Xenopus tropicalis: one gene and its partners. The protein of the gene in region 2 interacts with the protein of the main gene of each other region in a pairwise test. Links are inferred from orthologs where the notes say so. Each region holds a gene or a part of one and is shown on either strand. Other genes may lie near its edges. The genes, in order: stx3, stx5 and ccdc155l.

The links.
Region 1: the proteins of stx5 (region 2) and stx3 interact in binary tests that used the Homo sapiens proteins (3 or more experiments, as listed by UniProt). The link is inferred for Xenopus tropicalis from reciprocal best matches to the Homo sapiens genes STX5 and STX3.
Region 3: the proteins of stx5 (region 2) and ccdc155l interact in binary tests that used the Homo sapiens proteins (3 or more experiments, as listed by UniProt). The two-hybrid records come from large-scale screens. The link is inferred for Xenopus tropicalis from reciprocal best matches to the Homo sapiens genes STX5 and KASH5.

What each region holds. Positions count from the first base shown.
Region 1 is NC_030683.2:60,542,312-60,545,972, forward strand, and holds part of stx3 (syntaxin-3), read right to left. Parts: intron 1,229-3,661; coding exon 1,155-1,228; intron 695-1,154; coding exon 557-694; intron 297-556; coding exon 186-296; intron 1-185. UniProt on the Homo sapiens protein: Potentially involved in docking of synaptic vesicles at presynaptic active zones. Apical receptor involved in membrane fusion of apical vesicles.
Region 2 is NC_030680.2:36,549,535-36,553,195, reverse strand, and holds part of stx5 (syntaxin-5), read left to right. Parts: intron 1-1,616; 5' UTR 1,617-1,630; coding exon of another isoform or gene 1,631-1,762; coding exon 1,763-1,825; intron 1,826-1,933; coding exon 1,934-2,004; intron 2,005-2,377; coding exon 2,378-2,433; intron 2,434-3,312; coding exon 3,313-3,383; intron 3,384-3,661. UniProt on the Homo sapiens protein: Mediates endoplasmic reticulum to Golgi transport.
Region 3 is NC_030683.2:112,424,144-112,427,047, reverse strand, and holds the end of ccdc155l (lymphoid-restricted membrane protein), read right to left. Parts: intron 2,026-2,904; coding exon 1,865-2,025; intron 932-1,864; coding exon 733-931; 3' UTR 624-732; downstream 1-623. UniProt on the Homo sapiens protein: As a component of the LINC (LInker of Nucleoskeleton and Cytoskeleton) complex, involved in the connection between the nuclear lamina and the cytoskeleton.

The DNA of each region.
Region 1 (3,661 bases), on a different chromosome or scaffold from region 2:
GTAAAGCAAAAGACACGAATAAAGAGGTACATAAAGTAAGATATCAATAACAGATGTCTTTACAGTTGTCTCCTGTATGGCCCTCAGATATCATTTCTGTGCAGTCTTTTCTCTCTTGTCAAGCTACTCCTGCTTTTCTTCTTAGGTGTTTGTCTTAAAATATGCTGTGTAGTGTCCCTTCTCACCTTACGTGCTTTGTTCTGGTATTTCACAGCTTTTGTGGTTTCTTCACGTGCTTTCTCCACATGTTCCACAGATTTCATAACATTTAACTCTATATTGTCTAAAGATTCACCCTGTTAAAAATAAATAAAATGATTATTAAAAGTAAGGGACAGTGAAAGATTCTCAATATGCACAGATGCACAATCTTTATTTTTGTAGTTACCTGAACTATAAGAAGTCTCAGTATCCATGAAAAGCATAGCATTAAGGGTAGAAAATATAAAATAGCTTAGAATTCTATTTGCATTTTGAGACAATAAATATGTGTATGTGTTAGTTCTGATATTCCTGTCCTTTCATAATATCAAATCACAATCCACGTTTGGGTTACCTGGTTTTCCACAAGCATTGCAATATCCATAAACATGTCATGGAGCTCTTTTAGGCTGCTCTCCAGTCGTACAATATCTCGATGTCTGGATTCAATTTCACTTAGGGCCTGACGTGATATTTGTGAGTCATTAATTATCTGTGAAAAGTGTAAAATGAAAAAAAAAAAGAATAATGAAAAACTAAAAAATGTTCTCATAACTGTTATTAACAATAATGCTTTTAAATGTGCTAACACATTAAGCAGTGCTGTACAACAAAAATGTGTTTTAATCAAGTATACAATTCACATTAAAAAACTAATGCATACAAAAGGTAAAGAGAGTTCTTCAAAATAAATCCTTAAGCTACAATGGTGTGTCCAACTTCTTTCTTGCCCAAAAGGCTTAACTCTTTTCTCCTTTTCAATCCCCTCTCTAAAATTGTAATAATTCTTCTCTATACTCAGGGGCAGATTTACTAAAACTCTAACATTTCTAATTTTTTTGTTTCCATAAATGTCTGGCATTTACTAAAAAATCTGAAATAAAAAGTCTGCACTGTAAAAGTTGCAGAAAAGTAGCAAAAATTCAAAGGTCCCCTCAGAGTTTCTTTCTTACCCCAGAAGTAAAAATATTAGGATTCCCACTTTCTAACATTTCTTCCAATTCTTCGTCTGTGGTACTTTTGCCAGCTGGAGAGAGGTGCAAAGTGAAAAGAACAAAATTAAGACCGCTGACTGATTATATATAGATTATCTATATCAAATCTAGTTAAAAAAGGTAAACTGTTTTGATTAAACCTTTAATTAAAAACTTTTAATTAAAGCTACATAATACAAAAATAGTGGGCACAAAATTGTACTATACAAAGAAAGTATGACATCTATTATCCAGAAATGTCTTATCCAAAAAGCTTTAAAATACAGGAATAATGTTTTTCATATTCTTATTTAAAGGAATACTGTCATGGGAAAAATGTTTTTTTCATAATGTATCAGTTAATGGAGCTTCTCCAGCAGAATCCTGCATTGAAATATGTTTTCATAAAAGCAAACAGATTTTTTTATATTTAATTTTGAAATTTCACATGGGGCTAGCCATATTCTTCATTTCCGTGTGTACCACAACCATATGACCTGTGCTCTGATAAACTTCAGTCACCCTTTACTGCAAGCTGAGGTGATATTACTCCCCCTCCCGGCAGCTAATCAGCAGAACAACGGGAAGGTAGCAAGATAGCAGCTCCCAGTAGATACCAGAATAGCACTTAATAGTAAGAAATCCAAGTTCGGTTTGCGACTCCTCCAGTTATATGGAAGTAGGAGAAACAATAGGTTATCTGAAACCAGTTCAAATGTGTAGCGCTGGCTCCTTCTGAAAGCTCAGACTCGGGCACAATGCACTGACATGGCGCCTACACAGCAATGTTACAACTAAAAAAAATACATTTCTTGGTTTAAGAATAACAGTGTAATTTAGAAATAAAAAGTACACCAAAGAAATCATGACATTATCCCTTTAAGCATACAATTCTTACTTTTTGACTGATTTCAGTTTTTTCATTACTTCGCAGCTATTAATATTACCTCCTGGCTTCATATATTTCTCTCAGCAGTTTTCCTTTGTTCAGTTTATATGTCAAATTATTTAGGTATACGTTTACTTACACATCTACGGAAGAGCACTGGGGCCACAAATTTTTTTTTTGGTGAATTATGACTTGTAAAAGTGATAATTAAGACTTTTAAACTCATAATTATGACTTTAAAAAGTCGAAATTATGACTATAAAAAGTCGAAATGATAACTTTTAATCTCATAATTATGATTTTAAAAAGTTGAAATTCTGACTTTTAAAGTCAAAATTCTGGCTTTTAAAGTCATAATTATGAGTTTAAATATCATAATTATTAGTTTAAAAGTAATTATTATGATTTTTAAAAGTCATAATTCAACAGAATTACACATCCTCACTACACCTGTTAGTTAATTTTCTTCACTTCACATCAATATTTCCTTTTGCTATTAAAGGCTTGCCTAAACCTGTCAGTTGTTAATAGTAGGGATGCACCGAATCCCGGATTCGGTTCAGGATTCGGCTGAATCCCGACTTTTTTTTTAAGGATTCAGGTTCTGCCGAGTCTGTGGTCCCGGCTGAACCGAATCCTAATTAGCATGTGCTAATTAGAATTTGGAAAGGGTTAAATGGGAAGTGAAAAAAATGTTTTCACTGCTTGCGACCCCTTACGATCCTAATCATCATATGCTAATTAGGATTAGGTTCAGGATTCAGCCCGAAAAAGTGGGTTCGGTGCATCCCTAGTTAATAGTTTCAAGGAATGCCCTTTATGTCACTTCACAGTAATGTAGAGAAGTAGGGATTAGGATGTCAAGCGGCAGGCGATGATATTAATAGATTTGGGTGGATTAGAGTCAGAGACGGGTGAGATCTGGAAGTCCCAATAGCAGAGATTTGTATGGGTCATCAGCCTCCAAGTCCACAAAAAAATATCATGGTCAAAGGTGGGAATGTGTGCAGCAATTCTATAATTTTGCGAGTTTTATTAGAAGACGATTGATTGTAGGAAAAGGAAGCTTTAACCACGCTAGCTAAGACCAATCAAGATTCTATAGAAAGCAATAGGAAGTGTATCTTCAGTATTTCGGCAAGCAGGAAAATGCTGGTTACAGCTTTTCCCACAATTTTTTTCTGACCTGTGATCATCATTAACCTATATATATATGATTTTTTTCAAAAATATATGCCCAAATTTGTGGAAAGCTGTGGAAAATGTTTGAATAAGATTAGTTGTGAATATGGGCCCTACTGTGTCAAGAACAAATATTGGCCCTTGCATTATATACCTGTAAAAAAAACAGAATTTTTATAATTTGTATCCAATTTTTTTGTTAAGCATTTGTTTCCCTTTAACATGTAACCTTAAGATTGTTTTTTTTTAAATATTAGAATGTGTTTGTTGGTTGGCCAATTCCTCATACAGATGGAGAACATACAGTATATAGCATCAGTGGTATATTTTGCAAATGTACTTCCCAGCAGATCTTGAACATTGTATAAAAGGGGATAAGAAAGTGTGCTTTGGACTTACCAGGTACTTTACCACC
Region 2 (3,661 bases):
CCCAAAGGAGGTGCTAAGTACTTTATGTTTTGTACATGATAAATGTCCAGCCTGCTTGGTCATACATGGGCAGATAACATAACACATACAAAGCATAACATCATGTCTGAGATCAAGACTGGAGTTTTACATAAAAATGTATTCTGATGCATGTAATGCAGTCAATGCTGTATGCCAATATTCTTAAGAGCATCCCTTGGTTTCTTTTTATTGGACTACTGAAAATCAAAGTAATTAAAATGTAATGTATTGTTGTGCATTTGCTTCAGAAACTCTACTATAGTTTATATAAACAAAGCTGTTGTGTAGCTATGGGGGCAGCCATTTAAACTGAAATAGGGCTAAATGGTACAGTTTACATATCCGGTAATAGATAAGCACTGTAAAACATCATTGTATTCTACAGAGCTTATCTGTTATCTGCAATGTAACCTGTGCCTTTTCTCCTTTTTTCTTGCTGGAATAGCTACCTCCATGGCTATACAGAAACTTTATTTATATGAACTATAGTAACCTCTCTGAAGCAAACACACAGCATCTTGGGGCAAAAGTATATTACATTTTATTACCTTAAAACACTTTCATTTTTTAATGTTACTTTAATGGTTTCCATTACCTTGTTATGCTTATTCTCTTTTCACTTATTCCTGACTGCATTAGTGTACATACCACATGTTTGTGCGCTGTCTGTTTTAGCTCTTGGCACTCCAGGCATATTAGTGTGGTCTTTAATATTCATTTTAAAAATGTTACTCTACATTGAGTGTTTAAATAGAATACCCCTTTTCAGATTGGGATGGTGCATCTATCTTGTCAGCATCGTTTTGGGAATTTCTTTCCTTCAGTGTAAATAGTTGTAGGATATCCAAAATTTGACCCCACACAGTTGCCTGTGATCCTCTGTTAAACAGCCTTCTTCTCGTAGTATGCCTGCTAAATACTGCATGAGGTAGCACTTGCTGTCTTCATTCTTTTTGTAATAGGCTAAAAATGCTGAGCTGCGTGTTTTTTGATTGGCATTCTGCATATGTAATTGTCATAAAATGTAATTGTTTACATTTTAAGCAAAGAGTGTTTTTTTTCCTCTGTGTGATTTTCCATGTCTGTTTTGAGTAGGCTCCTGCCAGTATCAAGGTTCCATTATTGGCTGTCCATTTGGGCTGCTTTTATATAATGTCAACAGATTTCAACTTGTCTTTGAAAACATCCTGTATTGTTTAGTAAAGTAATTTCCTAGAGAATTTTTTATTTTTTTTTTTGAAAATTAATAAAGATCATTTTAAAGAAATTATAGTAATTATTGTGCGTACACAGGCAGGTATAAGCTACTGCTTTATTCCTGGGATTCTAGCTGTATTTATATATTAACATTTACGCCTGTGGTACACAAGACTCTCTGGGAGGAAGTTAAAATACTTTTCTCTGCCTGCAGGAGCTTTGCCAGTTCAGCCATTGGCACTGTTGTGCCAGCTGTTATAATGCCTCTTTCACTTATCACCACAAAAACACATGCAAATGTGCATAAATCCATAATATATACAATCCGTTCAGTAGCTCACAACCCTTTAAACTTTACTATATATTCTCTGGATTAAACCTTTTTATTTTTCCCACAGCTGGTCCTGGCCCCATGAACGCTCGTAAACGTCTCGGGTCCCGTAACACAGACAACGGAATATACATAGGACCATCCCAGACTCAGGTCCTGGTTCCTGCTTCAGAGTTTCCTGTTGCTCCTCTTCCAGTTCCCCCAGCTGACATCATGTCCTGTCGGGACCGCACTGCTGAGTTCATTTCTGCTTGCAAATCTCTGCAGGGACGCCAGGTTGGCAATTGATGGGGGAAGAAGAAAATGTCTTTGGGGTCTGGGTAAAAGATATTCACATGATGAAAAAGTAATTTACGATTTAAATATATGTTTGTTTTTTTATAGAATGGTGTACAGTTGTCATCTCCGACTCTAAGTGCTGTTAAGCAAAGAAGTGAATTCACCCTAATGGCCAAGTAAGTAGAAGGTTATGTTCCATCCAGTCATCTCACTTAAGCCAGCAAGATGTGGGCTGATGTTCATTTGTAGTGCTTGTGTTGCTTTTCACCCTCTAGTTATAACGATATTGTGGTTTTACTCTAATTTGTAAATCTTAGATTTTCAGCTTTAAACCTGTGCATAGTGCAAAGTAATCTCTCTGCTGTACCATTAGATGCATCACTCCATTTAACAAAACAAGACTAAGGGGCAGCCCGTAATCAGGTGTTAGTAATACAACTTATTATGGGCTGCCCCTTTCTCTGTTAAACAACCCTTGTGTCTTGTGCTTCTTTCTTTATACTCTCCATTTTATTGATTCCTTTTTCAATTATTGTTTTTCAATTGCAGACGCATTGGAAAGGATCTCAGTAACACATTTAGCAAACTGGAGAAACTGACAATATGTAAGTATTTAACACTTCTGCAATTAACCCTGTGTGTGTGTGTATGTGAAAAGAGAGAGCAAAAGTTTTTATAATAAAATTCTGTTTCAGCGCAAGTGATTACAAGATCACATAAAAAATATGAACTTGAGTCAGGGCATTCAAAGGTGATCATCTACAGGCCCAACCTAAAAGGTGTCCAACAATACACATAGTACCTCTCTGACCAAATACATAGATGACTGCATTTTATTATATCTGCAGTAAACGAAGTTCCGCATTTATTCCACATTCAGCTGCATGGTGCATTAGAAGATTACATATTCAGTTTGGACCTATTGCCATCCCCCAGTGATGCTGGTCAAGAAAGGTTAACAGGCAGTATGGGCAAAGTTGTTTAAAGCATCCAGGGCATATATGGCTTGCTTAAGTTGTTTTCAGTCTTAATTGAGGCTTTCTGCACACTGCTGATTAATGTGTGAATCTTAACCAAATGTGACTGAATGTAGCCACAGCTTTATCCCTCTGACTCTGAATCAGATTATTCTGGTTATAAAATAAATTGGTATATATATATACACACAAATACATACTAATTATGTAGGAGCAGTTAACTAGATGCAGGTAACTACAGCGTTTTCAGGCCCAAAACTGCATTTCCAGCTGAAATATGCTGTGTGTTGCTGCACCTGGGCCAAAGCAATGCTTTCAGGTGCAGGCACAATTTTTAGATTTTAAAAAAGCGTAGGGGTGGATCATGGTCTGCATTTACCCGCAGGCTGAGAATCTGTCCCGTGGCACTAGCTTAATTTTTGGAAATATTTTCTGTGGTACAGAATAATTACAGCATTTAACCACATTTTCATTAAGATGATTAATGACAATTTAATTATTTCTCAGTGGCAAAACGAAAATCACTTTTTGATGACAAAGCTGCAGAGATTGAAGAATTGACCTACATAATTAAACAAGTAGGTATCTGGGTGTACAGCTTAGATTAATTTCAATGCGTATGTGCAAGTGACTTGAACTCTTTAAATCAGGGATCCCTAACATTTTTTTACCCCTGAGCCACATTCAAATGTAAAAAGAGTTGGGGAGCAATAAAAGCATGAAAATTGTACATGAGGGTGCTAAATAAGGGCTATGATTGGCTATTTGGTAGCTCCTATGTGGGCTTGGAGCCTACAGGAGGCTTTGACAGTGGCAGTACACTTTGGTTTTAATGCAGCCAAAACTTGCCTCCAAG
Region 3 (2,904 bases), on a different chromosome or scaffold from region 2:
GCTGTGTGAATCTTCCGTGGCGCTGCATATGCCATCCCACCGGCGATTTACATTCAGGCCGATGGGATGGCATATCGGGGAGATTAGTTGCCCGCAACAAGGGAGATTTGTCGTGGGCGACTAATCTCCCCATCTACCACGGCTCTTATCTGTGCATTGGGAATCTAATGATGTACTTTGCAAGGACCAAACATGGAGTCATTTCAGTTTCCCTGTTTAGCTCAAGAAATAAAAAGAAAAAAAAATGTTTCCTGATTAAAACAATAGATAAAAGTATGCTTAGCACAAGCCCTATTCATTGCATACCAGCGGAACAAAGGGGGGGGGGGTACTGTCACTTTAAGGTGTTTTATTAAGGCATTTATTTGGCTAAACTACCTTGTCCGGCTGAGAGGGTGCAGCCTGTGGCAGTGTGTGAATGCTACTGAGTTCTTTACCATCACATTCTCCCACAACCCCCTGCCATAAGAACCATAGCCAAATGCTGCATCCCTCCCAAAGGATTAATTAGCTCTCGTCCCACTTCCCCTAGCTCATTAGCACATTAGTCTCTTATTGTGTCAGTCACTATTGTAAAACTCCTACCAGAGATCAGACACAAGTGCAACAATATAAGAACAATGGAAGATAAAGATAACTAAGATGTTAAAATAACAGAAATATAAAGATAAAATGCTGCTTTTGCTCTCTTCTTTATCATTGGCTAGTAGCTGTGTGGTGTTGGCACCTCTTTCAAACCGGTGGTGGAGAATGGTAGTGCAAGTCTAGATGAGGCCATATCTCTGCTTTCAGTACAGTCCAGATGTGCTCCCCTGCCCACGCTGGGCAAAACATCAGTGTGCCAAGAAGGATCAGGGTTAGCCATAGTGAGCTCTTGTTCTGCAGTTGTATGCAGGGCACTATGGAAGTGTGCAGAGTATCAGTGCATAACCTGAACAGGAGATGTGAGGCAATAGGTGAGTACCACAGAATAAAGGCACACAAAAACAGTGCACAGCAAAAGAAAATTTAATTCAAAATCTTACACATAACTTTAAAGCCACTGATCATTTTTCATTAATGGATATTTACTTAGAATTACATTTTTTTTCACAGCTACTAGGGGCGAAGACACACGGGGTGATTAGTCAAGTAGCAGTGACTAATCTGCATAGTGAAAACTCGCGAGCGTTTACTTGCAGCGACTACTATTCTATGGCAGAAAAGTTGCTGCGATTAGTCACGACGACTAATCACCCCGTGTGTGTTTGCCCTAAATGCCAGAAAATATCCTGCCATAGACTATACTGAGAATTGCCTCTGCTAAAACTCACCTAAAGACAATTATCAGTAAATGATCACTACTGTCTATTTAAGTAGCCGTGACAAGTAGCTGCTACTAGTAACTATGTCTGTCTTCACCCTTAACCTTTCTAAATACACAATAAAAGAATCAAGGCTGCCATACATGCAAAGACTTTACTAACCCATAACCATGATACTCTAAAAAACCATTTCTCCACATGGCTTAGCCTGACTGTGTAAGGCAACCTCTCCCCCCGTGTTCCACTGGGAAGTGATGGTTTCTGGGTCTCTTGAAGTCTCTCTGCTTTTAATAATGGGAGGTGCACAGATTCTCTGGAAAGCAGAGAGACTTAAGGTCATGGTTGGGGGTGGGAAACTCATCCCTGCAAGCAGAGACAGACTATCTTGGCGTCCTTTCAATCTGGGGAATAAGTTATGTCTGTGTAAAGAAAATACATTTCTATTTATATCTGGAGGCTCAGATAGCGCCAAAATGGGGGAACATGTGATGTTTGCTGAACACAAGAACCATAAAGTGAGGTTGGCCTTTATGCAGCAGGCACATATTCCAAAGATATACCATTCAGTAGCAGGGAGCTCCTCACTGTCTGGTTCCTTGGCCTCCTTCCCTGTGTACAGTTGCACGGCTCTGCCCAACCTGCCCCACTGCCTTTCCCACACATTCTTCAGCTCAAGCAGGTAGTTCAGTTCTAGCAGGAAGTGGCCGCTCTGCTCATACAGCTTGGATTTTAAGGAGAGAATGTGCCGTGGCAGACAAGAGAAAAACATATTTGGTTAAAAGATATGGTAATATATCCATGTTGTTGCATTAACCCTTTCAGTGACAAGCTGCTTTTATTGTGCAGCGCTACAGGTTGCCAGACCACACAATGAAGCATAGACCAAAGTGTACAAATGTAGAATCTGTGGTGCTGGCATAATAGTATGTTTATGTTAGCACCATGGATTCTACTTTTTCTGTTAACGTAATGGTTTGCAAACAGTTTTGGAATAATGTTGTATTTCTCATGGTTTAGATATCTACAAATATTGCACAATATCACAAAATGTATATTTTCAACTCACTCTGGCTTAGTTGCAGAGCTATCCTTAGGAGTGGCCAATAGTGGTAGTTGCCCTGGGCTTGAGACGTAAAGAAAGGACCATGCAGTGATGGCAACTCAGAGTGGAGGGAGTGGGCTATTTTTATATGAATACATAGTAGCCCTGTACAGATCAGAGGAGGGCCACATCCACAGTCTCATCAGGTATTGATCAGGGAGGTTGGAATGTTGGTGCCATACACAACCAATAAGTCAGCAGTCAATGCCAGGCTGTTTATGTCCAGATTTAGCTTTCTTACCTCAAAATCTCAGCGACTGAGGCCTCTGAAGGTTAAAGTATTGTGAACAATTGATTGCACATAAGAACAATGACAATGGTGAAAGAACATTTGGTTAAATGGTCAGAACACATGGCCAGATATGATATGGTCGGCAGTTTGACCATACTATCCAGCCGTCTGATCACAGATGATCAGTTCCATTTGGAAATGTCTTCTGCTGATGCACCATGTTGGTTGATGTTTGGGGAGTTGACAGATAATTAAGCGAGACCTCA